4 linked regions of the Elephas maximus indicus genome follow. The protein of the gene in region 2 purifies or fractionates together with the protein of the main gene of each other region. This does not show direct contact. Links are inferred from orthologs where the notes say so. Each region holds a gene or a part of one and is shown on either strand. Other genes may lie near its edges.

Region 1 (7,613 bases), on a different chromosome or scaffold from region 2:
TTTTCCTTCAGAATCTTCTGCATTTTCTGCAAACACTCCAGCATATTTCAGGCAGACTGCTAGCTGCTTATCTTCAGATAGCTTCCAAATCATCCCTCCCTGTTCAGGACACTTCTCAGGGATACCGAGAAGGCTGTTTAGTCTTTTCATGGATCCTATGCTTAAGACAATTCCTCCTTCCACACTCACATATTCAAGGTCTCCAGATTTTATAGTGTGGCCTAGGTAGAAGGGCTGTGATGGATCCTTTTTTAACAAAAAATACTTTAAGTTTTCAATAATGGCAAACGTAGTGGGGCGTGCAAGGAAGAACCAGTTGTATTGGTCTTTATATTTATCAAAAGCATATTCGTAAGCTTTTCTCATCATTATCCACATGTCATCTGTTTCCATATTAATTGATTCAAACACTTTAACATTTTCAGAACTGAAGAACTCTGCTTTGTCACAGTGTTTGGTCCAAGTCTCCTTCACTGCAGCCCAAAGACTCACATCTTTGGGTTTTACAAGGATGATACAGTACACCCGAAAGCTCTTACTGAGCTCCATGCGTTCATCATCTGAAATTTTCAAGATATCTTCTTTGTTAGGAGCTTGTAGGTGATGATGCTCATGGTGGTGCATTCTATTTTCATGACCAATCCTAACGTGGCCTAGCATAGTGATCAAGGCACAGAAAATGCTTCCGAGCATCATACCCTTCAAAAATGAACTGCTTTCAGAAAGCATTTTTCCTATAAAGAAGAAAAAGATCCTTAAAATATTTAAAGGAAAAAGATTAGTCATTTGATTTGGTATTCCTTATATACTTACATTTTGCTCTGAACATTAAAAAGGTTCCCAAGTTTGAAATCCAGTTAGTTGTACATAGTACCAATGACCCTAGGAATCTTTAGCTTCCAGTGGCATCTGATTACTGTTTGATGTAAACTGGAACTTTGAAGCAACTCCTCTATGGAGTACAATCTGCTGTGAGAAGGCTCTTTTTTTTTTTTGTACTTCATCTGTGGGGATTTAATTGTCCAAGTACTAAATCAAAGCATTAACTCTAGAAACCAATGTCACAGAAGTTGTCCGTTCATCGTTCTCTTTAAAGGAATTTCGTTTCACAAGCTTGCATTATGTTATTCAAATACCTTTGCAGATATAAATGGACCTTCACACCAAAACCTTAAGTCTAACAGATAAAGCCACCTACAAGTGGCAAATCACCAATGGTATCTGTGTTGACATTTCTATTCCCAGCCTAGTACTTTATTTAACTGATGGCTGCTGACCTTAGGTGTTTGGAGTACATCTAAATCAAGTATCTTGAGATTGATAGCATATATGCTAATATTTACACTTTTGTTCCTAAAACTAAATGGTTTCCAATACTGTACCTAATACGTATCTCAACTAACTGGTGTATTAAAAGCTTATGATGGGAATAGTTAAATTATTTCGATGAGAACTAAATCAATACAGACATATCTGGGGACCATTAACAAACATTTTATTTCCTGAAAAGGCATTTTCTTCTTCCAGTAAAAAAGGGAAACTCTACACTTTTACTTCAACTGGAAAAAGCCAAACCAAACCAAACCTGTTGCCATCGAGTTGATTCCAACGCATGGCGACCCTAGACGACAGAGTAGAACTGCCCCCATAGGATTTCCAAGGAATGCCTGGTAGATTTGAACTGCCTTTTGGGTAGCTCTTAACCACTACACCACCAGGGTTTCCAACTGAAAAAGCCAACATTAAATACAACCAGCATTTATGCTTGTAAAGGCTAGTATTTTCCCAATCACCCCTTCATCTTCACAAAGAATGTTTTATTGAGCTACTCAGGTTTTCTCTTTGTCTCTTAAAGTTCAAAGGGGCACTAGAAGCTATCTAATGCCTTTTATCTCATTTTACAAATAGGGAAACTAAGGTCCAGAGAGGTTAAGCAACTGACCCAAAGTCACGAAGTTAATGGTAGAAGTGGAACTAGACACCAGATCTCCTGACATCACTTTAATATTTTTCTCATTACATATCAATTTCTACGGTGCTTCTACCCATAGTATTGAGACTTTAACAAATGAATCACTTGTTTTCCTACAGACCAAAAAAAAATATGTGTATATATACATATGGGGATCTGTTAACCATAATTGACATTTTACACCCAACATCATCATACTAAGAACTGGGGTGGGGGGAGAAGCAGGATGGTTGCACTGTATCACTCAAGGCACTTGATCAATAAACAGCTCCAAGAAGGAAAAGAGAACAGGAAACAAGCTTTGCTTAATTAGAACTGTCAGGGGTGCTCTAAAATTAACGTATATAGGAATGTGGCATTTCACATTACACAATTTTCATTATTTCTGGCCAATATATTTCACATGTGTCTCTCAGCTCCATAATGGCAAATAACGTCAGAATTCTGCCTGATGGGTTATTACTCATGGCTGCAAAAATATTGAACAAACTCAAGAAGTCAGCAATTTTTAAATAAAACCATTCACACAAATTATTCTAAGGAGTAGACTTCTTTTTTTTTTTCCAATCAAGGCAGGCCAAAAAATGTAACACTGGAAACGCACATGATAGGATATTTGAAGAAGAGAGGGAAACTTAAAACAAACACAAATGAAGCACTATCATAGTGGTTGGGATGAATCTTTTTAGAAGGTGAAGGTGCTGGGGTGGAGTATCAAAAAGGGAGGAGGACGAAAGGGGAGAAGAGAAGTAAGGAGTAGGATACGGTCACCTCAAAACTCTCCATCTCCCCCACTGACTATTCCTCCAACAGCACCTGCCTTGGCGTCCCGCGTGGAGCATGCTGGGAGTGAGCAAGGGCTCAGGCCCTCCTCAGGGAAGAGGCAGGGTCAGAACATTCCGGGGTCCGCGGGGGTGGGGGCCGAGACCCCGGCACTCACCGGTGTCTACAACGCCTCAGGGGTGGGAAAGCGCAGCCGCGCACAGCTTTCCTCTCAGGTCCGCGCGCCACTTGGTAACGCTCCCAGTCAGGCTGCTCTAGCTGCAGGCGGAGTCCTCTCGTTGGTTTCACTAAAGGTGGGGAGGACCAAGAAGCGGAGGCCACGAAGGCGAAGACAGCGGGGCGGGGCAAACGGGCCCTCGGCCCGGCTGAACCGCCCGCCCGCCCGCTCGCTCAGACCTCAGAAGGGCCCGCGCCTACGCCGCGCGCCTCTTTCTCTCAGTGCGCACGCAGCGCGCCTCTTTCTCCCCGCCCACCGCACGCTCTCCTGTACCCAATGGGACGCCTAGAGAGGCGTGCGTGCATCGGACCCGCCGACACCTCCCACCTCTTCTTCTTCCCGATGTGAAAACCGAGGGTGTTGTAGACTCTGGTTCCTGGCGGCCGTACGTGGGATGTCTCAGTGGTTTCTGTAAGGTAGCTCTGCATCATTGCACCCTTATATTGGCAAAGAGGTATTCCACCCGAGTACTTTTGGACTGGGGCCCAAATGTCAGCCACTAAAATCATTGAATTATGAGGGTAAGAATTCGCTATGGTTACTGGGCTGGGATCCGAAGCAACGCTGCCTGGAATCCAATCCTATCTTCACCACTAGCTTTGATGTCCTCGGAAATTTACTTCACCTCTCAACGCTTCAGTGCCCTCTTTTCTAAAATACAGAAAATATCACAGTAATGCCTATCTTGTAGAAGATTAAATGAGACAGTGCATGTGACTCCCTTAGCAAAACACCAACCATAGAGTAAGAGTTCAACAAATGTTGGCTGTTATTATTGTTCACTCCTCAACAATAAATATATAGTGGAATTAAATGAGTTAGAGCTACAGATGAGGAACCAGGCCCAGAAAGGATAAGAAACCTAATATAGGTCACATAGCTAGGTAGAGGCAGAGGTGGAACTAGAATCCAGGTCTCCTAATTACAAGTGCAGAACTCCTTCCACTAAATATATGGTCTATCATAAAATTCTTTTTGTGGCAGAGAGGGGTTTTTGCTAAAAAGCACAAATCCCTAGAAATATTTTAAATGTCACTATGTTTCCTTCAAATAGCATTAACTGAATGATTTCTCTATATTAGATACTGCTGTGGTGACTTCAGCTAGCGTTTCCAAAAACACATCTATCTTAGATGTTTTTGGGTCTATTAGCAATGACTATTCAGTCACAAAAAAATAGGCTCTGGGCAATTATCATGGCGGTGCTACCTTAAATTCTGGGGCTATGGTGGTAAACAAAATAAGTCCCCTGTAAAATATAGAACTGTCCGTCTAGCAGGGAAGAATGACATTAAACAATTTATTACAAATAATTGTAATAGTGATATATTCTCTGTTGTTGTTAGTTGCCGTTTTTTATTTATTGTGCTCTAAGTGAAAGTTTACAGTTCAAGTTAATTTCTCATACAAAAATTTATACACACATTGTTCTGTGACCCTAGTTGCTCTCCCTGTAATGTGACATGTCAGCTGCCTTTGACTCAGCCCCTGACTCTAAGGAATACAAAAGATGAATTTTTGAACTGGAAAGGAATTTAATACTGCAGAATATCTCTGTTATATTTTCTTGATTGATATATAGTCATTTTTAGATTGTCACAAATATAAATATATGTGTATACACGCACATATATATATAGTTAAGTGAAACAAGTTGCAGAATAATGTGTATAGTATGATTATACTTTGGTAACAACAAACAAATTTTTATATACATGCACATATGCTTGGTTTGTTTGAATGAGCAAGAGAGTATAGAACTATACCCAGCAGTATTGATCACATCCGGAGGTTGAGGTGAGTATGGTTAACTCTGTCATTATCCATCTTTGTATTGCATTGTTTCACTGCTTCTAACGAGCATTTATTACTTTTGAATTTGAAAAGCAGCAAATAAAGGAATTAAAAAAAATTAAAGCAACAAAGAGGAAAAGATACCAATACCTTTTTAAAGAGAATAGAGAACTAGTTTTCCTTGCAAAAAAGGACCAAGGAAGGACAGATAGAAATTTCACTCAGATTTCAGAGACAATTATAAGGAGGCAATTTAAAACATTTCTTTTTTCTAGTACAGGAAGGTATACCAAACTGGAAGTACTGATACACAGTGCTCTGAAACAGAACAAACCATAAGATTTTCAACACCAGAAACACTGCTAATGAGAAATTGTTTAAGAACCCAGTTCTCTATTTAAAGCAGAATTTAAGTATACTTAACATTTGAAATGAAGTTAGAGATGATTGACTTTAGTTAGGTGATTTCATTTTTTAGACCTTTACATATTATAACCTTAATAAGTCATGCAATTAGTATCTACTAAAAATAAGAATGTTTACACTCAGCATATAAGTGGGCCCAGCAAACCCACTTCTAGTAATCGCTCCCACAGAAATTAAAACATCAGAATGTAAGGCTGAATATATAAGGAAAAATGCATTATTGTTTATAATAGCAAAAGTGGGAAACATTCATCAATAAGGAAATGGTTGAATTAATTATGGTACAGCCATATAATGGAATATTAAACATTTAAAAACAAGATAGCTTATTTCACTAACCTGCACTAAACTTCACTAAACACACTAACCTGCACCTGTTATGGGGGTTTGCATTTGAATTTGGTTGCCTTCATGTACATAGCAGGCAAGGCAAGACTGCATTCAAAGCCGAAAACACTGCCTTTTTGGAAAAGCATTTCTGCCAATTCCATGCATTATGCAGCGTAGAGGTCATTAATTTCTAGTAATTGGAGATTCACTTGCGTGTAAGCACTCAAATTTTCAAAATTTGCCCTCAGGCCTTTGGGAAATTGACGTGACTTTCTGCAACAGTTCACTGGAATAATATTGAAGAAAATCTAAGGTGGATTGTTTTCTGCATAACATCTTTTTGGAGGGTTAAAAATATCTTCTGTGAATGAAGTACCTCTGTGTAACTCTTCTGCCCAGAGTTTCTCAACTGTTCATGTGCAATAAACAAATTCCCTGGTCTGAGCAAATTCATTATTGTTTCAGCTTGAGGATAGTTTGGTCTCTAAATGAATCTCAGTTTGTGTTTTCAGGCATATTCATGCTTGGAATCTTATGTCAAAAATATTTTTCTACTTAAAAATATCTGAGAGTTTTTTTTTTTTTAAATGAACAAACCCATTTGCCCTCCAACAAAATGTTTACAGTATGTCATATCAGGCACTGTACTAGGTATTGTTTCTTTTAAAAACTTTTTTATTATGGAGAATTTCAAACTTACACAGAAGTAGAGAGAAAAGTATAATGAAATCACATGTACTTTTCACGAACCTTGAACAATCATCACCTCAAAGCCAATCTTGTCACATCTATACGTCTTCCACTTCCCTTTCTTCTAGATTATTGTAAAGCTCCTTCTGTCGTAAACATGTCAATATGGATCTCTAAGAGATAAGAATTTCTAAAAATCCACAATACCACTATCATATCTGAAAATTAATAATTCCTTAATTAATCAAATATCTAGAGTGTTCAAATTACCAACAATATCACAATTTTTTTATAGTCTAAATCAGACTCCAAATAAAATCTCTACAATGTGATTGGTTTTTGTGTCTCTTACGTCTCTTTTTAGTCTAGGTTCTCTCTTACTTTCTTTTCTTCTCTTGACATTTCTTTGTTGAAGCAATCTGATTGTTCTTGTAGATTTACCCACAGTCTGGTGCTGATTACCTCATCCTGGTTCTTTTAATATGTTTCTCTGTCCTTTGTATTCCCTGTGGACTGGTAGTTTGCCACATTTAGTAAATAAAAATACAGGATACCCAGTTAAAATTAAATTTGAGATAAACAAGGAATAATTTTTAGTATAAATATGTCCCGGATGTATTGCATGAGACATACTAACTATTGCATGTGACATGCTTATGCTAAAAAATTATTCCTTGTTTATCTGAAATTCAGATTGAACTGGATGTCCTGTATTTTATATGGCAACCCTAACCCTAATCAAAAGGCTTGGTTAGAATCAGGTTCATTTCTTTTCCGGGAAAAACTGCTTCATAGGTGGTTCTGTGTGCTTCCCTCAGGAGCCACATACTGTCTGGTTGTCTCTCCCTGTGATGCTCGCTGCCACTGATGGCCAGTGCCTGTGGTATTAATTCATCAGGGTTGCAATATGTGGTCTTGTAATTTTTAAGGCATTTTTTTTTTTTTTTACTGTGGTAGCAGTGTACATATAGGTCCCTGGGTGGTACTAATGGTTTGCTCTTGGCTACTAACGGCTGCTAACCAAAGGGTCAGCAGTTCGAATCTGCCAGGCGCTCCTTGGAAACTCTATGGAGCAGTTCTACTCTGTCCTATAAGGGTCGCTATGAGTCAAAATTGACTCGACAGCACTGGGTTTGGTTTTTTTTTTTTTTACTAACTGAAAGGTTGGTGGTTCAAATCCACCCAGTGGCTCTGGGGAAGAAAAGCCTGGTGATCTGCTTCGGTAAGATTAAATCCAACCTACTGCCGTTGAGTCGATTCTGACCCATAGTGACCCTATTTGACAGAGTAGAACTGCCCCGTAGGGTTTCCAAGGAGTGCCTGGTGGATTTGAACTGCTGACTTTTTGGTTAGCAGCTGAGCTCTTAACCACTACACCACCAGGGCTCCTGCAACCATTAT
Region 2 (7,527 bases):
GTAATAAGGGTAGGCATTCAATAAATATTTGAGTATCATCACCATTTAGATGTCTGAAGATACCCACAGTTACTTTTGATCCCAATCATCTCCTTGTAACTGGTTGACTTTTTATTCCTTCAACAAATACTTCTTTATCACTACTATCTGGCATAGGAAATTGCTCACCCCTTTAATGAAGGTGGGTTTGTCCTTTGTATTAAAGTTCCACAGCAAGATATCTCCCCCTTTGGAACCTACAGCCAGGGTGCTGGGGTGAGTTGGATGCCATGCCAAGGATGTGGCCCTCCTGTCAAAGGGGGCGGCCTTGTGGAATATCCGGTAAGAAGCCAGAGAGTGCAAAAAGGACTGCTGGAGACTCTGACACAGAGAGAAAAGAATGAAGTTGAATTAACACCCAAGTCCTGGGTAAAATGCCAATCTCTAAGTCTTCCCACCAAAGAAAACTAACTGCTTGGCCCTCTACCTGAAAATACCACCCTCCTCCCCAGCCAATATCTGCAATGTATGTGAACTAATCTTGGAAAGCAAGGGGGCAGAGTTCATTCCAGCTGGGATCTTTACTTCTACCTGGCTGACTGCCCATAGGCCAGTCACCAAGGTTGGAGTGATCTGACCACTCTGACAACCTGCCAACCAACCCATCCTCTAATTTTGGAGCATCCAAGAGTAAAAAGGCACCATACAAACCCTTAAGCACTTCAGCCAGGAAACGCCTCACCTGCTGCAGCATCGGCCAGGCAGCTTTGCCCAGCTTATGCTGGTGGAGGGCCCTGACGATGCTGGTGTATGGCGACAGAACCTGCAGATTAGCCAATCCCGCCCAAAGACAGCCTGAGTCATATCTTCTGCTAGAACCTGTCAAAACAGAACAGACACATATTTTTCTCTCTGATCTCACTCAGGAAAGATCTTTCTGCTGAAATCCAAAAAGCCTTGTTGTTTCATTCAGCACAGCCCATCTATGCCATCTCCATGATTTGCTTAGCTTCACCCAGCACAAGTAGTAAGTAGTGAGTAGGCATTCTACCCCATTCTAACCCCCAACCCGCTCAAACTGTAACTCTGAAGTGAAAGCTAAATATGATCTTGCAGGCTTCCTGAGCCAAAGAAACAACGCATAAATAAAGTACATCGCAAAACGCTTCCCACTTTGGGCTGGAAAACTCGAGATAAGATGGGTGACAATTTTAAAATCACATATGATGTGCAAAAAAAAAGATTTTAAGACAATCTAGTAGAAATGACTGTTTAGGAAAAGAAATATCTTAAAATCCTATATTAAAATAATGCAGAGGTGGTCAGCTGTAGGCCCCAAATCCTCTCTCTCCTCCTCCCAGAAGCCAGTAGCATCCAAAGGGTCTGAACTAGCTCTAAGGAACCCAGGCTCGTTCTGGGGAGGTAAATCCACTTAGAATAGGAATAAAGCAGCTCTGGATTACCAAAATGCATTTGAGGACCTGATCTATTTGGATCCAGTCTCCTGAAAGCCAATTATTTCTATTCATAGGCCTAAAAAAAAAAAAAAAAAAAAAAAATTCCCTGCTTCACTTCTTGGATCAGGTGGACACTTGAGACTACATTGGCATCTCCTGTCTGGAGGGGAGATGAGAGGGTGGAGGGGGTTAAACGCTGGCGAAAAGGACACGAAAAAAGAGAGTGTAGGGAGAGAGCAGGCTGTTTCATTAGGGGGAGAGTAATTGGGAGTGTGTAGCAAGGTGTATATGGGTTTTTGTGAGAGACTGACTTGATTTGTAAACTTTCACTTAAAGCACAATAAAAATTATTAAAAAAAAAATCCCTGCTTCAGTCTCTAAGACTCCCCACAGTCCTTATAATCCCAAATTCAAGCCCCAAAAAGCCTCTGAGAATGAGCTTTCTAAGGAAGTAGAGAAATTGAGGGCTCACAGCCTAAATCAAGGACATAGAGCTAACAATCATGACTACTGAAATTCAGCGAACACTATCAGACAAGGCAGAATTATTTTAAGCAGTTCTCAGTGTGAAAAGATTCCAATAATAATAATAATAAAAAAACCTAAACCCATTGCCGTGAGTTGATTCCGCCTCATAGCGACCCTACAGAACAGAGTAGAACTGCCCCCATAAGGTTTCCAAAGAGCCGCTCGTGGATTCAAACTGCTGACCTTTTTAGTTAGCAGCCGAGCTCTTGACCACTGCGCCACCAGGGCAAGGAACTTAAAAAAAAGTTCTCGTCGGTTATAACGGAGCTTATCTACGTCCTCTCTTCACCTAACGGGAGTTAAGCCCACGTTCTCTGGTCTCAAAGCTGGCAGGTGTCAACGGACCGGCAGGCAAAATGCACAGCCTGAGGCGTCCGTAAGCTGGGAAAGCCTTAGGAACCTGGGAGCCACCCGTCCCCCACCCCAGTCTCCTGCGTCACAACTCCAAATGGCGGAAATATTAAGCCAGCAGGCACAGACAGTACCGGGACCCTTCACAAAGAGCTTCTTGGCCTCTTGCTCCAGCTCCTGAGGGCTTCTGCTCCTCTTGCCCTTGGGGCACTTAGGAACTTCAAGGGTCTTCTTGGTTTCTGGAGGTTTCCTGGGAGCCATCGCGTCTTCCGGGTGATGGAGTACTCGCGACCCTATGCCGAGATCATGGAACGCGGACTGAGAGGCCTCTAAGGAGAAACAAGACAGGGACCAAGAAAGCCAGGTGTGCCACAGGTAGCCCAACTAAGCCAACTTCCCGCCAAACAGGCTCACGGCTTTCGAACCAGCTTCTAGTTCCGGAACCGCCCCTGTGGGAGGGGCCCCGCCCCTTCCTGGAAGGCGGGAGCGCGCCAGGAGAGCTGGGGAGAGAGTGTGGGGAGAGGGGCGTACCTGTTCCCCCTAGAGGGCTTAGAATGCTTCCCTCCGCCCCCCAAAACACCCCCCGAAATGGGATATCACCCACGTGATGGGCCTGTTCTAGTCCAAGTCAGCTGACTGCCAGAAGTAAAGACGGCCGGCAGCGCTAGGTCACTAAACTTGAACCTCTTCAGCTGTGGCGTTGCCAGGCCTCTGCTGAGAGTACAGGTGCCAATCAAGGCTGCGGCTCCCGCCTTCACTGACTTCTTATTGGGGATGAAGCCTACTCCGGCTTTGGGATTGGCTGGTGCGTACAGGGTGTGGTTAGGGAGACCACTTCGGAGAAAGATACCCCTTAGCTGCTGTGGAAACTGGGGGTGTTGTTGCCCGCCACCTTTGCGATTGGCATCGAGTACCTCCCCAGCTCCGTCGAATCCGAGCTTCTCTTTGCAGAGCGGTTGGAGCTCTCGGCTTTTATCAGATTTTTCCAAACCTGTGTGTCCGCCTAGGGACCAGCCTGGGGCAGTAATGGGCGGGGAGGCCATGTAGCACAGGGTGCTTTGAGGTCCTGTGTCTTCAACTTGAGCCAAAGGCCAAGGCAGTGAGTTGAGCCTCATATGGGTGGGCGGGCGTTCCACTCGGCCCGGGTATGGCTAGGGGAGAGAGAAGAACATCCTAGTGCAGGAACAGCTTGGGCAAAGTTAGGAATGGGTGTGGTTTTTAAAGAGAAAAGCCGTCCTGGCATCTGGAAGATGGCCTGGTACTGTCAGCCAGGCCTTGATGTTCTGTTGAAAACCTGAAATAATTCCACAGAACATCAGCATCAGACAAGGCCACTTTATGACCATGATAGATCAAGATAAAAACATGATCAGTCATGTCTGAGCACAGACAAAACTGTGAGCAATTGTCTAAAGGACATAAATGATCAAACATTTCCCTTTTTTGACTAATATGAATGCCTGCTGCTTCTATGCCGATTATAGCTTTAACTTTGCTTCATTCCTCCCACCTAGTACACAAGATTTGTTAAGATAATCCAATCATAGAATTACCCCTACTTCCTGACAGGCTCCGATCCAAAGCAAACCAACCAGTTTCTGTCAGTCAATTTCAACTCCGGGCTATGGCATGTGAGTGAGAGTAGAATCCTGCTCCATAGGGCTTTCAGTGGCTGGCTCTGAGGGAAGTGGCCAGGCTTTTCTACCCACGTGTCTCTTTTTTTGCACATTAACTTTTTGCACATTAACCATTTGTACCACCTAGGGACTCCTGCTTCCTTAAACCCAGCCCAAAATCGTCGAACACAAGCCAATTCCTATAAATCCTTTCTAACATCCTCTTGAGATACCACACCATTCCCCATTGCTCCCTTTGAATGAACAGCAAACCCAAAGTTCAACTATAAAAGTATTTCTGGTGGTGTCTGGCTGGGGGACATTGACATTTATGAGTAGAGTGGGAGGTAGCTGGAAGAGTATCTTCTGTTTCTTTAGTGCTGCTGTTACAGAAATACCATAAGGGAGTGGCTTTCATGAATAAAAATTTATTTGCTCACAGTTCAAATTAGGAGGCTAGAAGTCCAAATCCAGGGCACCAGCTGTAGGGGAAGCTCTCTCTCCCTGTCAGCTCTAGGGGAAGGCTTTCTCTCTCTGTCAGCTCTGAAGGAAGGTCCTTGTCTCTGTTCATATTCCGTTCCTCGTTTCTTGGTGATCTCCATTTGGCGTCCATCTTCAGCTTCTTCTTGCTTTTATCTGTGCCTAAGCTGCTACTTTTATATCTCAAAAGTGATTGGCTTACTGTGAAACATTTCATAACATGGAGGAACCTGGAAGGCATTAGTCAGATCCAAAAGGACAAATATTGTATAAGATCACTATTATAAGATCTGGAGAAATAGTTTAAACTGAGAACACGTTCTTTTGTGGTTACGAGAGGGGGGAGGGAGGGAGGGTGGGAGAGGGTTATTTACTGATTAGATAGTAGATAAGAACTACTTTCGGTGAAGGGAAGGACAATACTCAATACAGGGAGGTCAGCACAACTGGACTGGACCAAAAGCAGTTTCCTGAATAAACTGAATGCTTCAAAGGTCAGCGAAGCAGGGGTGGGGGTTTGGGGACTATGGCTTCAGGGAATGTCTAAGTCAATTGGCAAAATAAATTCTATTAAGAAAACATTCTGCATCCCACTTTGAAGTGTGGCACCTGGGGTCTTAAACACTAGCAAGTGGCCATGTAAGATGCATCAATGAGTCTCAACCCACCTGGATCAAAGGAGAATGAAGAACACCAAGGTCACAAGGTAATTATAAGCCCAAGAGACAGCAAGGGCTACATGAACTAGAGACTGCATCATCCTGAGACCAGAAGAACTAGTTGGTGCCCTGCCACAACCAATGACTGCCCTGACAGGGAGCACAACAGAGAACCCCTGAGGGAGCAGGAGAACAGTGGGATGCAGACCCCAAATTCTCACAAAAAGGCCAGACTTAATGGTCTGACTGAGACTAGAGAATCCCGGTGGTCATGGTCCCCAAACCTTCTGTTGGCCCAGGACAGGAACCATTCCTGAAGCCAACTCATCAGACATGGATTGGACAGGACAATGGGTTGGAGAGAGATGCTGATGAGGAGTGAGCTACTTGTATCAGGTGGACACTTGAGACTATGTAGGCATCTCCTGTCTAGAGGGGAGATGGGAGGTTAGAGGGGGTTAGAAACTTGCAAAATGGTCACAAAAGGAAAGACTGGAAGGAGGGAGCGGGCTGACTCATTAGGGGGAGAGCAAGCAGGAGTATGTAGTAAGGTGTATGTAAGTTTATATGTGAGAGACTGACTTGATTTGTAGGCTTTCACTTAAAGCACAATAAAAAGTATTTAAAAATAAAATAAAATAATGTAAAAAAAAGTGATTGGCTTAACTCTTCAGACGGAGATTGGACTGAACTATAAAACATAAAATAATACTCCTGAAGAATATTAGTTCAAGCAGATATATGAGACTAAATGGGTGGCTCCTGTCCAGAGGCAGGATGAGAAGGCAGGAAGGGACAGGAGCTGGCTGGATGGGCATGGAAAACCTGGAGTGGAAAGAGAGAACGTGCTGTCATATTATAGGGATTGCAACTACTGTCACATAACAATATGTGTATAAATTTTTGTATGAGAAACTAGCTTGAGCTGTAAATTTTCACCTAAAGCACAAAAACAACAAAAAAACGATTGGCTTAAAACATACGCAACATCGATATGGCGGCATTAACATAACAAAGAAAATTCTGTTCCCAGATTGGATTATATCCCATAGTATTGTTGTTGTTACTAAGTGTTGTCAGGTCGATTTTATACTCATAGTGACCCCACGTGACGAAGTGGAACCACCCCATAAAGTTTTCTAGGCTGTAGTCTAGGCTGTAGGGAGTAGATCAGCAGGTCTTTCTCCCACAGAGTCTCTGGGTGGCTTTAACCATCAGCCTTTCTGTTAGCAGCCAAGTGCTTAACCAGGGCTCCTTTCTACATGTATAAACCAAACCAAACCTGTTTCCATCAAGTCAATTCCAACTCATAGCGACCATATAGGACAGGGCAGAACTGCCCCATAGGGTTTCCAAGGAGCGGCTGGTGGATTCCAACTGCAGACCTTTTGATTAGCAGCTGAATTCTTAACCACTGTGCCACCAGGGCTTCTCCTACGTGTTTAGGGGTTAGCATTTACAACAGGTATTTTGAAGGGGACACAATTCAATCCATAACAAAAAGGAAACCTGACCTTCTGCTATGACCAACGTTCTGTTGAGGATCTGTGCAAAGTCAGAAGGACCAGATACAGGGCAAAGTTGAGTGGCAGTCACAGGAATTCAAATTTTATTCATTCCATCGACATTTATCAAAAACCAATTCTGTGCCTGGCACTATTTCAGGCAAAGGGAATCCTGGAATGAAAAACTCTACTTGCCCCATTGGACAAGTGTACCTTCTAATAGTGGGAAAGCCAAGAAAACCTATAACTATCGTACAGTGGGTAAGCTTAGTGAGAGAGGAAGCCTAGGGTTCTGGCTGGGGTGGGAGGACAGAAAAGGGACACCTTAACTCAGCTTGGAGCGGGGAAAAGGAGAGGCTTGTTGTTGTTCCCAGGTGACACTTAAGCTGAATCTTAGGAGACTGAGGGAGGAGGGAGAGAGCATTCCAGGCAGAGGGATCAGGAAATGAAAAGGCAGAAAGGTAATAGTTACCCATGATGGATTCATTAGCTAAGAAATGTCCTGCTTAATGCCAGGTTGTCCCAAAATTCTCAGGATTGGGGAGGTTTTCCATGGTGGATGAAAAGAACCATGTATGAGCAGTGGGAACCTGCTTGGGACACACCAGTAAAGCGCCTTGTTTGAGATTGTGCTTTGAGACACCTTAACCAGGTTTTAAAAAGGAGCCCTGAGGGCGCAGTCGTTAAAATCTTGGCTGCTAACTGAAATGTCAGCAGTTTGAGCCCATCAGCCACTCCACAGGAGAAAGATGCGGCGGTCTGCTTCTATAAAGCTTTCAGCAGTTCTACTCTGTCCTATAGGGTGGCTATGAGTCAGAATCGACTCGATGGCAATGGGTTTGGTTTTTTGGTTTGGTGGCGCTGTGGGTAAGTGCTAGGCTGCTAACCAAAAGATTGGCAGTTCTAACCTACCCAGTGGCTACAAGGGAGAAAGACCTGGTGATCTGCTCCC
Region 3 (7,326 bases), on a different chromosome or scaffold from region 2:
TTAATGTATGAGCTTCCCAAAGGTAAGCACTATAGCAATCTCCATTTGTAGAACGGCTAGATTTGGCCACATGTGAAACAACATTCAGCAGCTTTTGGTGCTGAAATTTCAACCATTACATAAACTAGAGGGGACACTGGTAATTCAGTGATAGAATTCTTGCCTTTTACACACCCAGAAACCACCCAGTGTCGTCGAGTCGATTCACACAAGAGACCCAAATTCAATTCTTGCCAATGTACCTCACGTATGCAGAAGATGTGGCAGTCTGCTTCCGTAAAGATTTATAGCCTTGGAAATCTTATAGGGTCACTATGAGTCAGAATCAACTCAGTGGCAGGGCGTTTGGTTTTTCTGGTTTGCACCCCATGTGCAGTCGCCACCAGTTTGTCACTGGAGGCTTGCGTGTTGCTACGATGCTGAACAGGTTTCAGCAGAGCTCCCAGATGAAGAGACTAGGAAGAAAGGCCTGCCAATCTACTACTACTAAAAATCAGCAAAGAAAACCCTATGGATTTTAACAGGCGTTTTCTTCCACTGCGCACGACATCACCATGAGTCAGGGCCCAACTTGACAAAAGCCAACAACAACATCATATACTAGAAAGTGCTTGATACAAGCCATGAAATAAGATAGGACTGGCTTATTTCATTAAAGAGTTGGCAGTATGGTGACACTAAATACACTGAGAATTCAATTCTTAAGTACAAAGCAAGGACTTGGAAGCAGCTGACCGCATGTTCTCCAAGTTCCCCATGCTTTGTAGTCCCAACAGAAACGACAGTCTGGGTAGAGAGATCCTATGGAGACGTAGCAGAGCTGGACTGAGGCAAGCCTTGTCAAGCAGGACCAGTCCTTTTCTATCATATTCCCAGGGCGATGCAGTGGTTAAGAGCTACAGCTGCTAACCATAAGGTCAGCAGCTCGAATCCACCAGGCATTCCTTGGAAACTCTATGGGGCAGTTCTACTCTGCCCTACAGGGTCGCTATGAGTCAGAATCGACTTGACCACAACGGGTTTGGTTTTTTTGTTGTTGTTTTCTTATTACCCTAGAAGACTTTTAGAATATCAGAGAACAATCTGATGACAGCAAGGAGGATTCTCGGTGAAAGTTTCACATTACAAAAGGAGGAGACATCTATCTAAACAACCAAAAGAGCAGGGAAATAGGGTCAATCTGGCAATGATGAGTAGGGGTCCATTCAGGAAAAACCCAAGTGCAGTGGTCTGAAGTCCCCTGGTGAAGGGTTTAATTATCAGACAGAAGAACCTGAGTTCTGATTCCCAGTTCTCTGAATACCAACCTAAACTCTTATGGTAGCCTTGGCAGTAGGATAGACTACAGGGAGGAAAAGGAAGTAAGCAACCACCTGGCTGAGTAATAGCTAACATTTACTGAGTGCTTACTACATGCCAGCCATGGCTCTAAGCACTTTACATACATTAATTCACTTAATTCTATACAATACTCTACTCATTGCTATCTCTTCTGACTGACTGAGGACCAGAAATTAAGTAACATGTTCCAAGTCACACAGCTAGTAAATGGGAGAGTTGAGTTATAAACCTAGACATTCAATATGGCTCCAGAGCCCTGACTCTAAACAGTTATTCTATGCTGCCTCTGTCCAGAAAGTGAAGACCATGTCAAGAATAGGTAGTGTTGAAGGTGGATTGAAGAAGGATGGTGCCAGAGGTCCAAAGTGGGGAGGGTTGCAGATAAACTACAGGTTCCTTGTATCTTGGGCACAACCTGGGTTCATGGGGCATTCAGTAGCAGAAGGAACACCTCAAAGGTGTCAGTCATACATCTACCAGGGCAGGGAGAAGCGGCAGGGAGCCAGAAAAGAGGACGAGTCAGACCGAGAGGCCAAAATGAATGAGAAAACTGCCAGGTGCACAGGGGAACAATAACTTAAGAGTTTTGCCAGCAATAACCTCCTTAAGAGCTGACCTCGTCCAACAGCAACTCAGTAGATAACTACCTAAGTTTGGGAAACAGGGAAGGAACCTGCAGCTCCGAGATAGAGAAAAGGGATGTTGTGGGAGGGGGAGAGCTCCACGATCCCCCAGTCCTCTATTCTAAGGAAAAGACCCAGAGTTAAGGGCCAACTAGAAAAGTCTAGTCCAATGTCGCACCAAGAGGTCGGGGGTCACAGCCAGGGTCTTCCAACCTCTGAGTGCGGTGTTCCCGTCTACCCTGCCCATTCTGGCTAAAGAGCTGCACCTCCTGCGACAAGCTGAGCCTGGTACATTCAATGGGCATTAAATATACGTTTATTTAAGGAATGAATGAGTGTGTGAATGAATGAAAATACGAGCGGAGGAGTATTTATGCTGTCTCAATTTATGCTGCACCGGATAGGCTGGGGGACAGTGAGCTACCATAAAGTGAAACCCTGGGCTCGGCCAAATGTAAGGTCCCCATGCTGCCTCTGCCCGTTCTAGGAACCACATAGCGTCTTTACATCCAGCATTCTCAGGGGCAAGCCAGCTTCCCAGCCGCCAACCGCAGAAGCACGCCCAACTGGCACTCCTTTCACACAAATCTCGATGGGGGACCCCAAAAACGGGGTGCCCGGGTCCACGACGCGGGCTCGTGGCCCCGAAGCACCCTGGGACTTGTAGTCCCCAGCCGATCGGCCAGAGCCTCCCCTGGAGCCCTACGCAGCCCTCGCCAACGGCCCCTGCTCGGTGCCCTAACCGAGCCAGGCCGCTGCGGGCCGGGGTCGCCCACAGGCTGCGGTCGGGTGGACACAGAGCTGGTACGCAGGAGAGGGCTTTAAGGGATGGGTCCCGGCCAGACGGTGCCAGCCACGGGCAGGATGGCAGCGGATGGCGACGGATGCGCGGGACTCCACTCACCATCATTTTGGAAGCTTATTTAATGGCCCGCTCCTCCTCCTCTCTTCTCTGGGTCCCGGCCGTCCGGCAACCCCACAATGCCTCGCGCCAAAGAAGTTCGCAGAACCTTCGTCAAGGCGTTGTGCCGGGAGAGGAAGGGGACGGGCCACTTCCGCCACTCTATGGTTCTTCTACCACAGAGTCGGCAAGGCTAGAAGGGCCAGAGGCTGGGCTTCGGAAGGAGGTGTAGGTCCCGCTACCCGAGGCCTTAATTACCGAAGCTTCTCCGGATTCCGGTCGTGCGTTTTTCTTCTCGGTGGTGCAGGCTTCTTACTCCGCCCCCGTCACCTACTAACCCTGATTCCGCCCCGATCCCCCACTGGACACTAGACCAAGGAATGCAATAAACGCGTGCATTTATTGAATGCTGTGAAACTGGCCTATGCTAAGTAAGCGCTTTTCGTAAATGAGCTCAATCCTAACAACCCTATTGCCTGGGTACTATTATTATACCTAGGGGCCGTGGTGTTGCAGTGGTTAAGCGTTTGGCTGCTAACCAAAAGGCCGGCAGTTCGAGTCCACTAGCCGCTCCCTGGAAACGCTGCCAGGCAGTTCTATTCTGCCTTATAGGGTCGCTAGCTATGAGTCGGAATCGACTCAACAACGGGCTTGGTTCTTTTGTTTGTCTTATTATTATACCTCTTTTCCAGATGAAGGAACTGAAGCTCAGAGAGGTTAAGAAATGGTGTCCAAAGTCACAGTTGCACACAGTGTGACAGTGAGGCGGGGTGAGAACCTGGCCCCAATACTCGTTTTCTGGCTCTGCACTGGCCAAAGCCTTACGGCTGCAGATCAGGCCGCGTTCCCAACGCCTACGAATAGTGAGCGCGCAAGAAATGATGCAACTGGGCATAAGACTGGCGGGCCTTGAACGCCAAGCCGAGAACGGTGGGCCACCTGGGCGCTAGACAAATGCCTTCCCGCGGGGTGGGGGCGTGGGACGGATTGGGGGAAGGAAAGCAAAGCAGAGTGCTCACGCCTGGGAGAAGGCAAATAAATTGTGAAGCGGCCACGGAGAGGATCCGGCCGAGATGGCAGGAACTAACCGCCAGGGCTTTTAGGCCGCTGAAGCGAGTCATCCGGGGTGCCCACCCCCAATTCTCCCTCCTCCCGGACCGGCCCACCAGTCGGTGAAGCCTTGGAGAGTCATATCCAAACTGAGAAGTGCTGGGGCGGGGCTGGGGCGAGGGCTGGCAATTGGTGTTCACAGCTTAAGCCAATCAGCCTTCAGCCCCACTTCTCTTGGCCAATGGGAAGTAGGCTAAGGCGCAGAGGCGGAAAGCGTGGCTACATGAGCAGGCATGAGAGCCAATCGGCAACAGGCCTCGTTCCGGTTAGCCAACAAGCCACGAGAGCGGGTCTGTGGGCGGGAGGCCGGAGCAGCTCTCCGGCTGAAGTCCGGCGAGGGACGCGCGGCGGGGCGCCGGGGGAAAACGCAGAGCCGGGCAGGGCCCTGGAAATGGTCCCTGGGGCCGCGGGCTGGTGTTGTCTCGTGCTCTGGTTCCCCGCGTGCGTCGCGGCCCACGGTGAGCAACGGGCGGGACTGCGCTGTGGGGCAGGCCGTCCAGCTTGCGCGCGTCTCCGGCTGGGGGCCACGGGTCACCTTGGGGACCCCGCGAGTTTGAGGCAGGGCAGGTGCGGGGACAGATGGCTGGCTGGTTGGGTGCTGGTCCCCAGGGACATGCGCTAGGCGCAGCCCAAGCCTAGACTCTGAGTCCTCAGCCCCCCACGTTGAAGCAGGACCCAGGTGGCCGAGGGTGGTGACCAGGACGAGGCACAAGGGACACCTGGAAAATCCTACAAGCTGGAGATATGTATGTGAGCACTCATACACATAAAAATATAATAAAAAATTATACAGCATATAATCCTACATCTGGGCTCTCACACAAGCACACACAATCTGTTAGCACCTACACAAGCACATGTACGTATACAGCCATGTATACATGTATGTATATATTTGTATATGTCGTTAGGTGCCGTGGAGTCGGTTCCAGCTCATAACCCTATATATGTGTGTATGTGTGTGTATACATATATATAAACCCCCCAGTGCCGTCGAGTCGATTCCGACTCGTATATATACATACACACATATACTCACACTTAATTTACACAGATAAACAGATGCAGAGGCTAGGCAAGGAGGTGGGGTGGGGAGCTTAGCTTTAATTCAGGAAGGCCTCCTGGAAGTGCATCTGTATTGGATGGAGAGTCCCCATTCTTGGGTCAAAACGCTATTGCCCAGTGCCAAGCCAACAGAGCGCTACCTGGTGGCAGTGATGTGGGCAGTAGGCGAGGACAACTAGTCACAATCAGCCCAAAGTCTGGCACATGGTAGTGCATGGTAATTTGTTGGCTAGCTGATCCATGGCTAAGGAAACCAGGGACTCGAGGCCAGGTAAAATATTAAACTTTGGTGCTGAAAAGAAGTTCCCACACCCCAGGAAAGTCTGTTTGCTCTGGCAATTCTCTTCCTCAGTGTGTTGGAGCCAGAAATAGTTGCTCATTCGTCACCCTTTGTTGAGCACCCGCTATATCTTAGCCCCTGTGTTAGACACTGGGGATGCAGCAATGAATATGAATACAATTACAAATTTTGTTGAAAACGTCAGTGGAGAAGAAGTACGAGGGGAACTCAATTCGAATGGGTGTTAGGAGAAGGCAGTCACAGTGCAGAAAGTTTCTCTGAGAAAGTGAAATTTAAGCTGTGACCCAAAGGATGCATAGGAGTGAGGCAGGTAAATACGTGGGGTGAGTGAAGGTAGGGAGCCTTCTAGGTAGAGAGAACAACTTGGAGGAAGACCTGGAGAAGTGAAGAGCTGGGATGGTCAAGAAACTGAAAGGAGGGCAGCGTAGTTTGAATATAGTAAGGAGGAGATGAGCTTGCAGTAGTGTCCGGGGGCCAGATCAAGCAGTGTCTTGTAGGCTGTTAAGACTTAAGATTCGATTTTAAGTCCAAAGGGAAGTCATTGAAGTCCTGGGGATGACAACATGGTCGTGTTTATGTGTTAAGATGGCTATTGTTTGGAGAATGGACCTTAGGAAGCAAGAGTGGAGGCAAACAAAAGTTAAGAAGCTGGAACAGTCAGGGCAATAGGGTGGGTGGGCTAGGGGAATGGCAGTGGGAACAGAGAGTCAATTTTAAGTTTTAGTGAGAATTGTTTACCGGGGCCACGACATCTCCACCTTGAAACTCCCAGGCCCACTTCAGAGCAAACAAGGATTAACTCCCCAGAGAGAGAACACTAGAACAGCAGCTATAAATCTCTGGGGTTACTAATGTTATCTGCCTCAACTCTATCCTCTACAGGGCAAAGACCGTCTATCTCACCCTCCTGGGGAGACCAGTCAGCCCAGGTTCAGACCCAGAGTCCACGGTCTGAACCTGAACTAACTTGTTCCCCGGAAGCTTCTCACCTGTACTCTTTGTCCTTCAGGCTTACGTATCAATGACTATTTGTACTTCCAAGTGCTGAGTCCTGGGGACATTCGATACATCTTCACAGCCACACCTGCCAAGGACTTTGGTGGTATCTTTGTAAGTTTCCGGAGGCCCTCTCCATTTTGACGTTCTTCCTCCCCTCCTCACTGAGCTGGGTGTCCCTCTCATCCCTTCAACCAGTACCTGAGTGCCGCCACGGCCCAGTGCTGAGCCGGGGAATGGATCAGAACCCAGCTGTGCCCTCCAGGGGCTGCAGTGCAGGGAGGAAATGCTTCCAGCTCCTCCCGTGGGTCTAGCACAGACCTGGGCACCATGGAGGGACAGGCTGTCATGACATAGTGAGAAACCAAAGGCACCAGCTTCCTCTGCCAGCTCTACCTCTGAACTATGTGATTTAAGGCAAGTCACTTCCCCTCTCTGGGTCCACACAAACTCCCCTATCTCCCAGAAAGGCAGGGTTGGGTAGGACAATCATCTGGGCCTTCGTGAGAATTACAATGCTCCAGTTCCCTGCACACAGAAACCAGTTCATGTTTCCTTCACACTCTACGGGAAACCAATTGGATGGGATGTCAGCGCAGTCAGAAAGCAGCCATCTTTTCACACTCTATTCTACCTGAATGTCTTTCAGCACACAAGGTATGAGCAGATCCACCTTGTCCCTGCCGAACCCCCAGAGGCCTGTGGGGAACTCAGCAACGGTTTCTTCATCCAGGACCAAATCGCTCTGGTGGAGAGGGGGTAAGGAGCGGGCAGACATGGACACAAGGGGAGAGCAGGCATAGGGCAGATTTGGGGGTCATAGTTGTTAGTGATGCTTTGAAACAGCTTTTCTGGGGACGAGTCATTGTTTTAAAGGTGTTTAAAACTATCTTAAGATGATTCCGGCCCTTTGGCTATTTACCTACTAGCCATTATAAAAAATCCTCCATGGTCCTTCTTCCACCCACACAGGTGATGGTCTGGAAAGG
Region 4 (7,788 bases), on a different chromosome or scaffold from region 2:
CTTAAGACAGAACCATTGCCCAAATAAGGCATTCCAACATAAAGATAAGCAAATCCGCACACCATCAAGGCTCTAGCATTTCCTGACAATGTGTGTGGGACCCAAAGCAATCACCTCATCATGGCCCTGCTGACCAGTGGCACAGAGCCTCCAAACTCTGCCAGGATGGGAGTTTATAAGGGTTTGAAAACCTGAACAACAGCAAACATATGATGATGGAATTATAAAAAATTAAGCAGAGAACTTACACAAACTGTAATAAGACTCTTGGTATTTAATTTTCAAAAAGGTATGGAAATAAAAAGATTTGGAAGAATTTAAACCAGAAACGTATCAGTAATTCTCTATGGGGTGTAAAACGATCAGAGACTCCTCTTTGTCTGCACAGCTGTGCTCTCTGGTTTTTCTTCAATGAACATGGATAATTAAAACACAAAACTCTGAAGAAATCTCATATGCTTTGCTAATAAATTCTTCTTAGCTTTCTCAAACAATTCTCCCTTTCAGCTCCTCTTGGACTATCGATTAAATGTGAGGTTACATCAACAAATGTCATTAGAAAGTTAAAAAAAAAAGGTCAATAGATGTTAAGGAATAACTGCACATAGACTTGACTAACACTGTAGTCTCTCGTAACAAACTGAAATATTTTTATAAGGTACCTGATAAACAAATGTAAATAAAAATAACTCAGCCTAATCAGAATTCATTAAGTTATGCTTCAAGGTAAAACAGGTGTATGCAGTGTTACGGTAAAAGATACAGCTCGCTGTGTCCATGACTTAGTGTGCTGCTTCAAGGCGAGGGTGATTCTGTCTAACTTTGGGGACACTGCTGCTGTTGGCTTTAGGTAGAAGGCACGTACATGTCGTTATAGAGCAGATACAAGGCCAGAAGCTGACCGTACACTGGGGCTGTGGCAATTCCTCCAGGAGCCTACAAAGCCAAAAGGGAAAGAGAAAAACCTTATTTATTCTTACCTCTTATTTAAAAAAAAAAAAAAAGCATTTTTTTAAATACAATGCATGTTTTATAGCCCTATTACATATATAAAAACAGCTTACAAAAGTATCAAACACTAAAACCATTGAACGAAGCTTAGCTCTGTCATCAGTTGTGACTTATCTCCCTCTGAGCCTTAATTTCTTCACATGATAATCTAATTGGGGTCTCTTTCCAAGTTTTCAAATTCTAATTTAAACGACTTTACTATTATAAGACACAAACATTCTGAACCAATTCCTAAAGCACTATGACTCTACCCATTATATCAAATATGTCGAACAGTCAACCAAAAAAAAACAAACCTATTGTCATGGAGTCGATTCTGACCCATAGCCACTCTGTAGGGCAGAGTAGAACTCCCCCATAGGGTTTCCAAGGAGCAGCTGGTGGATTCGAACTGACAACCTTTTGGTTAGCGGCCAAATGCTTCAACCACTAAGCCACCAGGGTCCACATGTTGAACAGTTAAGTACCGGTAAATGAGTGGGGAATAGAAAAACATCATGGCTGAGGTACAAAAACATTTCTTTCCCCATTTAACTTCAGGAAACATTTATTAAGCGTTTTTTATCAGTGAGCTAGAGCTACTTGGTCTCACTGTTCTCTCCTTTAATTAATTAACTATTTATAATAATGTCATGCATTTAAATGTCTAACTCAAAAAAGTCTAAACTATTAACTTCAACAGCATAATAAAACTTTCATTTGTCTTAACTAAAGACAAAACAGCAAATTTACTTGGTAGGAGTATTATGAGAATAAGACCGGCTTTCTGAGTCAAGGAAAGGTCCCACCTTTCTTGGTCTGTTTGTATATACATGGGCACATGCCTGCACAAGTGTCTTTAATAAAACCCACGTTTCCCCTCCCCCGGCCAATGACAAAGAAAGCAGCGTGTCTCGTCTAATTAATATAAAAAGCATACTGGTGGGTGTTAGGAGCAAAGACGCATATATTTGTTTTGTTTTTTCTCTCACAAGCTGAAGTTATTTGTCTTCAAACTTCAGCTTGTAAGAGAAAAAACAAAACAAGCTGAAGACAAATAACAAGTTAAACAGCAACAAAAAAGCCTTGTATAAGAAATACTACCCTACGCTTTGAAAAGCAGAAAAATTGGAACGAATTCTAAAAAGTATGTTTACTGTCCCCGCACCTGGGTGCACGTCGCAAATCGTTAACAAAGTACTGTTAACACAAGCAATGTAAAGGTCTTATCTGGGTACAAATGAACCAAAAATTGATTATAATATGGAAAAACCCAAATCTCAAACCCGTCGGCGTCGAGTAGATTCCGACTCATAGCGACCCTGCAGGACAGAGCAGAACTGCCTCATAGGGTTTCCAAGGGGCAGCTGGCGGATTCGAAGTGTCCACCTTTTGGTTAGCAGTCAAGCTCTTAACCAAAAAGGGCCAAAATTAAACTAAAGGAAAAAAAAAAAAGTCAAAATACACTGTATCAGACCAACTTAAGTCCCCAACATGGAGTCGGGGGACAGGAGAATTTCCACGCCTAGTAAGCCCAACCCGGGTCACACGAGAAAGGTGGCCCGCGCGGAGGGCGAGGCGTGATGACAGGTGGCCGGACAGCCCTGGTGCGGGGGCAGAATGGGGCTGCGACCGCGGTCCAGGCCGCGCTTCCCTCCAGGAGGCCGGGCCCGAGGGCTTCCAGGCGGAGCCGGCCGCAGCCGCCCGGGCTCCCCGCGCCCAGCTCCCGCGCCCGTCCCCTGCCGGCCGCCGTAGGGCCCGTTACCCCGGAGACCCCGCGGCTTCTCCCGGCCCGAGCCGAGCCCTACCTCGAGCTCCTGGTTCTCGCACTGATCCAGCAGCTTCTTGAAACTGAAGGCACTTTCCGCCATCACCGCCACTGGCATCTTCCCCGCCGCTCCCGCCGCCTCACCTCCCCGAAAACCAGACCCCAGACTGTCCCTACGGGTGTCGCGCCGGCGATGACGTAAAAAGCCTCGGCCGCCGACGAGCGCCCGTAGGTACTGGCAGGCGCGCCTGAGGTTTCCGTGCGTCCTCAGACGTCTCTGCGTCGGCTCGGGGGCGGGGGCAGGGGTCGTGGCCGCTCTGGCCCGCCTCTCTATGCTCTGGAGGACCGGTCGGTCCTCGCCGGAAGTCGGCGTCAGGAGTCAAGGCCAAGTCCGGGAAGGGCGGCGTTTTGTGCCTGCGGGAGGACTCCTTTTGAAGACAACCCATACGCGGAAAATAATAAACAGAAATTCCTCTAGAGGCACAGTAAAACGTTTATGTATAATAAGAAAAGAATGAGCCCTGCCGTACTGGTCGATGCCCTGCCTAGCGTTCTGGACAACGCCCTGCGCTTAGTAGGTGCTCAAGTTATGTTTGTATGTCTCAGGTTTGTGTTTTCAACCGCCTACTTGATACGTCGGCTTTGAGGCCTAATAGGCACGCAGACTTAGGTTCAAACCCTACCTCAGTCTGTTTCCCAAGCCCGCTTTTTCGCAGCCCTTCCCTCTTAGTAAAGGGCCTCACCATCCTCCAACCTGGCTCCCCTCTGCGCACCCCGCATTCGAGACTCAGGGAATCCCCGCTCTTCGCCTTCAGAATACATACAGAACCAGAACCTTTTCCAACTCGGACCCCTGAAATAGGCCAGCTACCACCCCTGTCTGCCTCCAGCCTGTTCTCTACACAGCAGCCAAAATGACTTTTATGAAACATAAATTAATTCTTGTTATTCCTCTTTTCAAAGCCCTAAAATCCAAAGGCTTTTCCATTGCTTACAAAGCTTACATGATCCAAATCCCAGCTGCTCTCTGACTCTGCTCCAGGCCTTGGGCTCCTTGGTTCTCTGCATGATACTGACTGCTGCCAAACAGTATGTTATAAATGTGTTTATTCGCTACTAAACCACAGGCGCCCCCAGGGCTAAGGCTTTGCTTTGTTCCCAGATGGCTTCACTAGTGAATTCTACCAAACATTTAAAGAAGGATTTATGCCAATTCTTCACAAACTCTTCCAAAAATTAGAAGAAGAAACACTTTACACTCATCTTATGAGGCTAGTATTACCCTAATACCAAAACCAGACAAAGTCATCACAAGGAAAGAAAACCACAGACTAAAATTGAAACCCCAAGTCGCCGTGGCTTCCTCCACTCCACTGAGGCACTCCCCCAACCTTCGTCTGCTGTCCTTGCAAACCACAGCTTCTAACTGCAGTTTGCTCCAAGCCCACAGCCCTACAAACCTTGGCTTCTAACCTTAGTTTGTTGGGGTCAAATCTTTGTACGTGCGCAGGTCAAGATCTTGGCACATGCGCAGATCAAGAGAATTCTGTACCTGACCCCAGGCCTGAGCATCACCAGAGGGGAAGATATTCTCCAGCACCCAGTGCCACCCGAGCTACTTTGGAAAGCGAGAAGTCCCCCAACTTGAACTTCCTGTGAAGAGTGACTCAGCATGACTCAGCACCCAGATCCCCAGGGATCTGAGGACATAAAAGCTCCCCAATCCTTACCTTGCTCCTTGTCTGCGCAGACAATAAATTTGCCACTTCCTATTTCCCTTGCAATTGGTGTCTGTCTTATTTTTGTGTTTTTTCAAAATCTCTTATGAATATAGATACAATTGTCCTCCACAAAATACAGGCAACCTCATCCGGCAATATACAAAATCGATTACATGCTATGGCCAAGTAGGATTTAGCCCAGAAATGTAAGGTGAGTTTAACATTCAAAAAACAATTAATATAATACGCCATATCAATAGAAAAAGGTACCAAATCCATAGATTCAGAAAAAGTGTGTGACAAAATCCAACACCCCTTCATGATAAAAATACTCAACAAACTAGGCATAGAAGGGAATTTCCTCAATGTGATGAAGGACATCTGTGAGAAACCCACACCTACAGCATATTTAATAGTAAAAGGTTGAATCCTGTGAAGCAATGAATCCCCTTACAGAGAGAAATTTGACCTTTGTCCTCAGTTCCTGAGAAATAACTGAAATTTCCTGAGTAATTACAGTACCTTTTGTTATTTGGGAGCCCTGGTGGCAGAGTGGTTAAGCACTCGGCTGCTAACCAAAAAAGGTCTGCAGTTTGAATCCACCAGTTGCTCCTTGGAAACCCTATGGGGCAGCTCTACCCTGTCCTATAGGGTTGCTATGAGTCTGAATTGACTCAACAGCAATGGGTTTGTTACTTAAGCTTAAGGACTATACCAGAGGATTTATGCTAATGAGTGGGGGGCTGGCCAAGCTAGAAGGACCACATCATGACCTGAAATCAGCTGACCTCAGGGAGATAAGGGAACATGATTCAATCACGCATATGCAATGAGGCTCTTACCATGAATATGAATATGAATATGAATATGCAATGAGGCCCCTATCATGCATATGTAATGAAACAAATAAAGGCTCTGGACACAGAGGCTTCAGGAGCTTCCTGGTTGGTGAAAGGCATGGATACACATGGGAGGGTAGTGAGCTTCTTGGGGGGTATGGAAACTCTTCATTGAGAATACCCCTGGACCTTGCCCTGTACATCTCTTCACTATGCTGATTTGTATTCTTTTTGCTACAATAAGCCTGTAACCGTAAGTATAGTATTTTCTGAGCTCTATGAATTGTTCCAGTGAATTATCAAACCCAAAGGAACAGTGGGAGCCAGCAAGTGAAAGTTAGGAAGTCCAGGGGAGGCCCCCAAACTTGGACTGACATTCTGAATGAATAGTGGGAAATACCCAAGTTTGTAGCCAGCAGGTTAGAAGTAAGGGTGTCATGTGGACTCCCAGGCTTGTGGCTGGCATCTGCCTATTTGGCAGTCTGAAGGATGGTGTCCTTTTAAGTTGTGAGATCTGACCTAGCTGGGGGTGGCTAGGGTCAGAACGAGAAAGTGCCGTGTGGGCAGAGGTTGTCAGAGATAATTGAGAAATGGGAAAGTGGGCATTTGAGTAATCTTCACATTTTGAGGATTGAATTTATGTAAATTTTTATCTGTGAAAATGCTTTTCTCCCAAAATCAAGAGGAAGACAAAGATGTCCACTGTCACCACTTCTATTTAGCACTTCACTAGAAGTTCTATTCAGGGCATTTTGGGTTTGAGGGTGTTAATGTGGCCAAGAACAAGATGATAGATTGCTCAGGTACTTCCATCGGACCACTGGCTGAGAGGGACATTTGTGTCCTTGACGGGTGAAATATCAGTTTGAGCTCTTGGGCAAGGCACCCCTGTGGGCGGCCCTGTGGTAGATGTTGCCATTTCATTAAGCAAGGTAGCAATACACAATGAAAACCATGACATAGTCTTAGCCTTGGACTTAGTGTACTGCCCTTGGGAAGCTATCCTAATGAAATAATTACTGAAGAGGGAATGAACTGCAGCTAAAACGTGGTGCAAAATCATAAAGTACAATAGCTAAACCACTGAATGACCTAATAGGTGCATGGTTAAACATGCCATGTCTGTGTCTTAGTCTCCTAGGACTGCCATAACAAAATACCACAAGTGGGTGGCTTTGAAGAACAGAAATTTATTGTCTCACAGTTCTGCAGGCTAGAAGTCCAAGTCAGCGTCTCTTCCATGTTGATTCCTCCTGAGGACTATGAGAGCGGAGCAGCCGCATGCCGCTCCCCTTGTTTCTGGTGGTGAGAATCCTGGGAGCTCCTTTGCTGCTTCTATGTGCATCTGCTTCCATCAGCTTACGCTGTGTCTTCACCCCAGGTATGTCTCTGTGTCTAAAACTGCTCCTCTTCTATGAGATGCCTCTGAGAAGGGTTTGGGATTAGGGCCCACCCTACGCCTGTATAACTTCGTTAATTTTTATGAATGTATCAATAAATACGGGAAGTGAATAAAGAAGTGAAAACTGTTGTAAGGTTTTTATGGTTAAGGTTATGTGTCACCTTGGCTAGGCCATGATTCTCAGTGGTATGGCAGATATAACGCAATCACTGTCCATGATGTGATCTGTTGTGAGCAGCCAATCAGTTGAAAAGGCAGTTTCCTTGGGGGTGTGGCCTGCAGCCAATATATATGGATGTTACAGCAAAGCTTGCTCTCTCTTGATCCTACATTAAACTGTCATAGTCTAACCTCTGATTCTTGGGATGTGAACCAGCAGCCTGCTGTCTGACCTGCCAATTTTGGGTTCATCAGACCCTACAAATGTATGACTCAGGAAAAATCTCCAGCCTGAGAGCTGACCCACAGAATTTGGGTCTTGCCAGCCTCCATAATTACATGACCCAAATAAATCTCTCTCTCTCTGTGTATATATATATGATATGCAGATGACACAACCTTGCTTGCTGAAAATGAAGAGGACTTAAAAGACTTACAGGTGAATACCAAAGACTAAAGCCTTCAGTATGGACTACACCTCAACATAAAGATGAGAAAACTCCTCACTGCTGGACCAATAAGCAACAGCATGATAATGGACAAAATATTGAAGTTGTCAAGGATTTCATTTGACTTGAATCTACAATACCAACAACACCCATGGAAGCAGCAGTCAAGAAATCAAATGACATATTGCATCGCACAAATCTGCTGCAAAATGCCCCTTTACAGTGTTAAAAAGCAAAGATGTCACTTTGAAGACTAAGATGTCCCTGACCCAAGGCATGATATTTTCAGTCACCTCACATTCATGTGAAAGCTGGACAATAAATAAGGAAGACTGAAAAAGAATTGATGCCTTTGAATTACTGTGTTGGTGAAGAATATTGAATATATCATGGGCTCCCAGAAGAATAGACAAATCTGTTTTGGAAAAATACGGCCAGAATGCTCCTTAGAAGCAAGGAT

The links.
Region 1: the proteins of DDB2 (region 2) and CUL4B purify together in Homo sapiens (affinity purification with mass spectrometry; 11 studies listed by BioGRID and IntAct, counting the BioPlex papers as one, with this or other methods). This does not show direct contact. The link is inferred for Elephas maximus indicus from reciprocal best matches to the Homo sapiens genes DDB2 and CUL4B.
Region 3: the proteins of DDB2 (region 2) and CCT7 purify together in Homo sapiens (co-immunoprecipitation; 3 studies listed by BioGRID and IntAct, counting the BioPlex papers as one, with this or other methods). This does not show direct contact. The link is inferred for Elephas maximus indicus from reciprocal best matches to the Homo sapiens genes DDB2 and CCT7.
Region 4: the proteins of DDB2 (region 2) and COPS8 purify together in Homo sapiens (affinity purification with mass spectrometry; 6 studies listed by BioGRID and IntAct, counting the BioPlex papers as one, with this or other methods). This does not show direct contact. The link is inferred for Elephas maximus indicus from reciprocal best matches to the Homo sapiens genes DDB2 and COPS8.

Annotation. Positions count from the first base shown.
Region 1 is NC_064846.1:35,959,015-35,966,627, reverse strand, and holds the start of CUL4B (cullin-4B), read right to left. Parts: upstream 3,001-7,613; 5' UTR 2,913-3,000; intron 755-2,912; exon of another isoform or gene 730-754; coding exon of another isoform or gene 1-729. Other genes in the region: C1GALT1C1 (C1GALT1-specific chaperone 1), read right to left, coding at 1-729.
Region 2 is NC_064825.1:102,634,435-102,641,961, reverse strand, and holds the start of DDB2 (DNA damage-binding protein 2), read right to left. Parts: upstream 3,008-7,527; 5' UTR 2,920-3,007; intron 2,645-2,919; 5' UTR 2,577-2,644; coding exon 2,450-2,576; intron 859-2,449; coding exon 722-858; intron 361-721; coding exon 169-360; intron 1-168.
Region 3 is NC_064835.1:62,607,017-62,614,342, forward strand, and holds the start of CCT7 (T-complex protein 1 subunit eta), read right to left. Parts: upstream 3,012-7,326; 5' UTR 2,875-3,011; coding exon 2,869-2,874; intron 1-2,868. Other genes in the region: PRADC1 (protease-associated domain-containing protein 1), read left to right, coding at 4,367-4,433, 6,351-6,451, 6,987-7,096. UniProt on the Homo sapiens protein: Component of the chaperonin-containing T-complex (TRiC), a molecular chaperone complex that assists the folding of actin, tubulin and other proteins upon ATP hydrolysis.
Region 4 is NC_064824.1:139,246,582-139,254,369, reverse strand, and holds the start of COPS8 (COP9 signalosome complex subunit 8), read right to left. Parts: upstream 3,016-7,788; 5' UTR 2,877-3,015; coding exon 2,799-2,876; intron 937-2,798; coding exon 866-936; intron 1-865. UniProt on the Homo sapiens protein: Component of the COP9 signalosome complex (CSN), a complex involved in various cellular and developmental processes.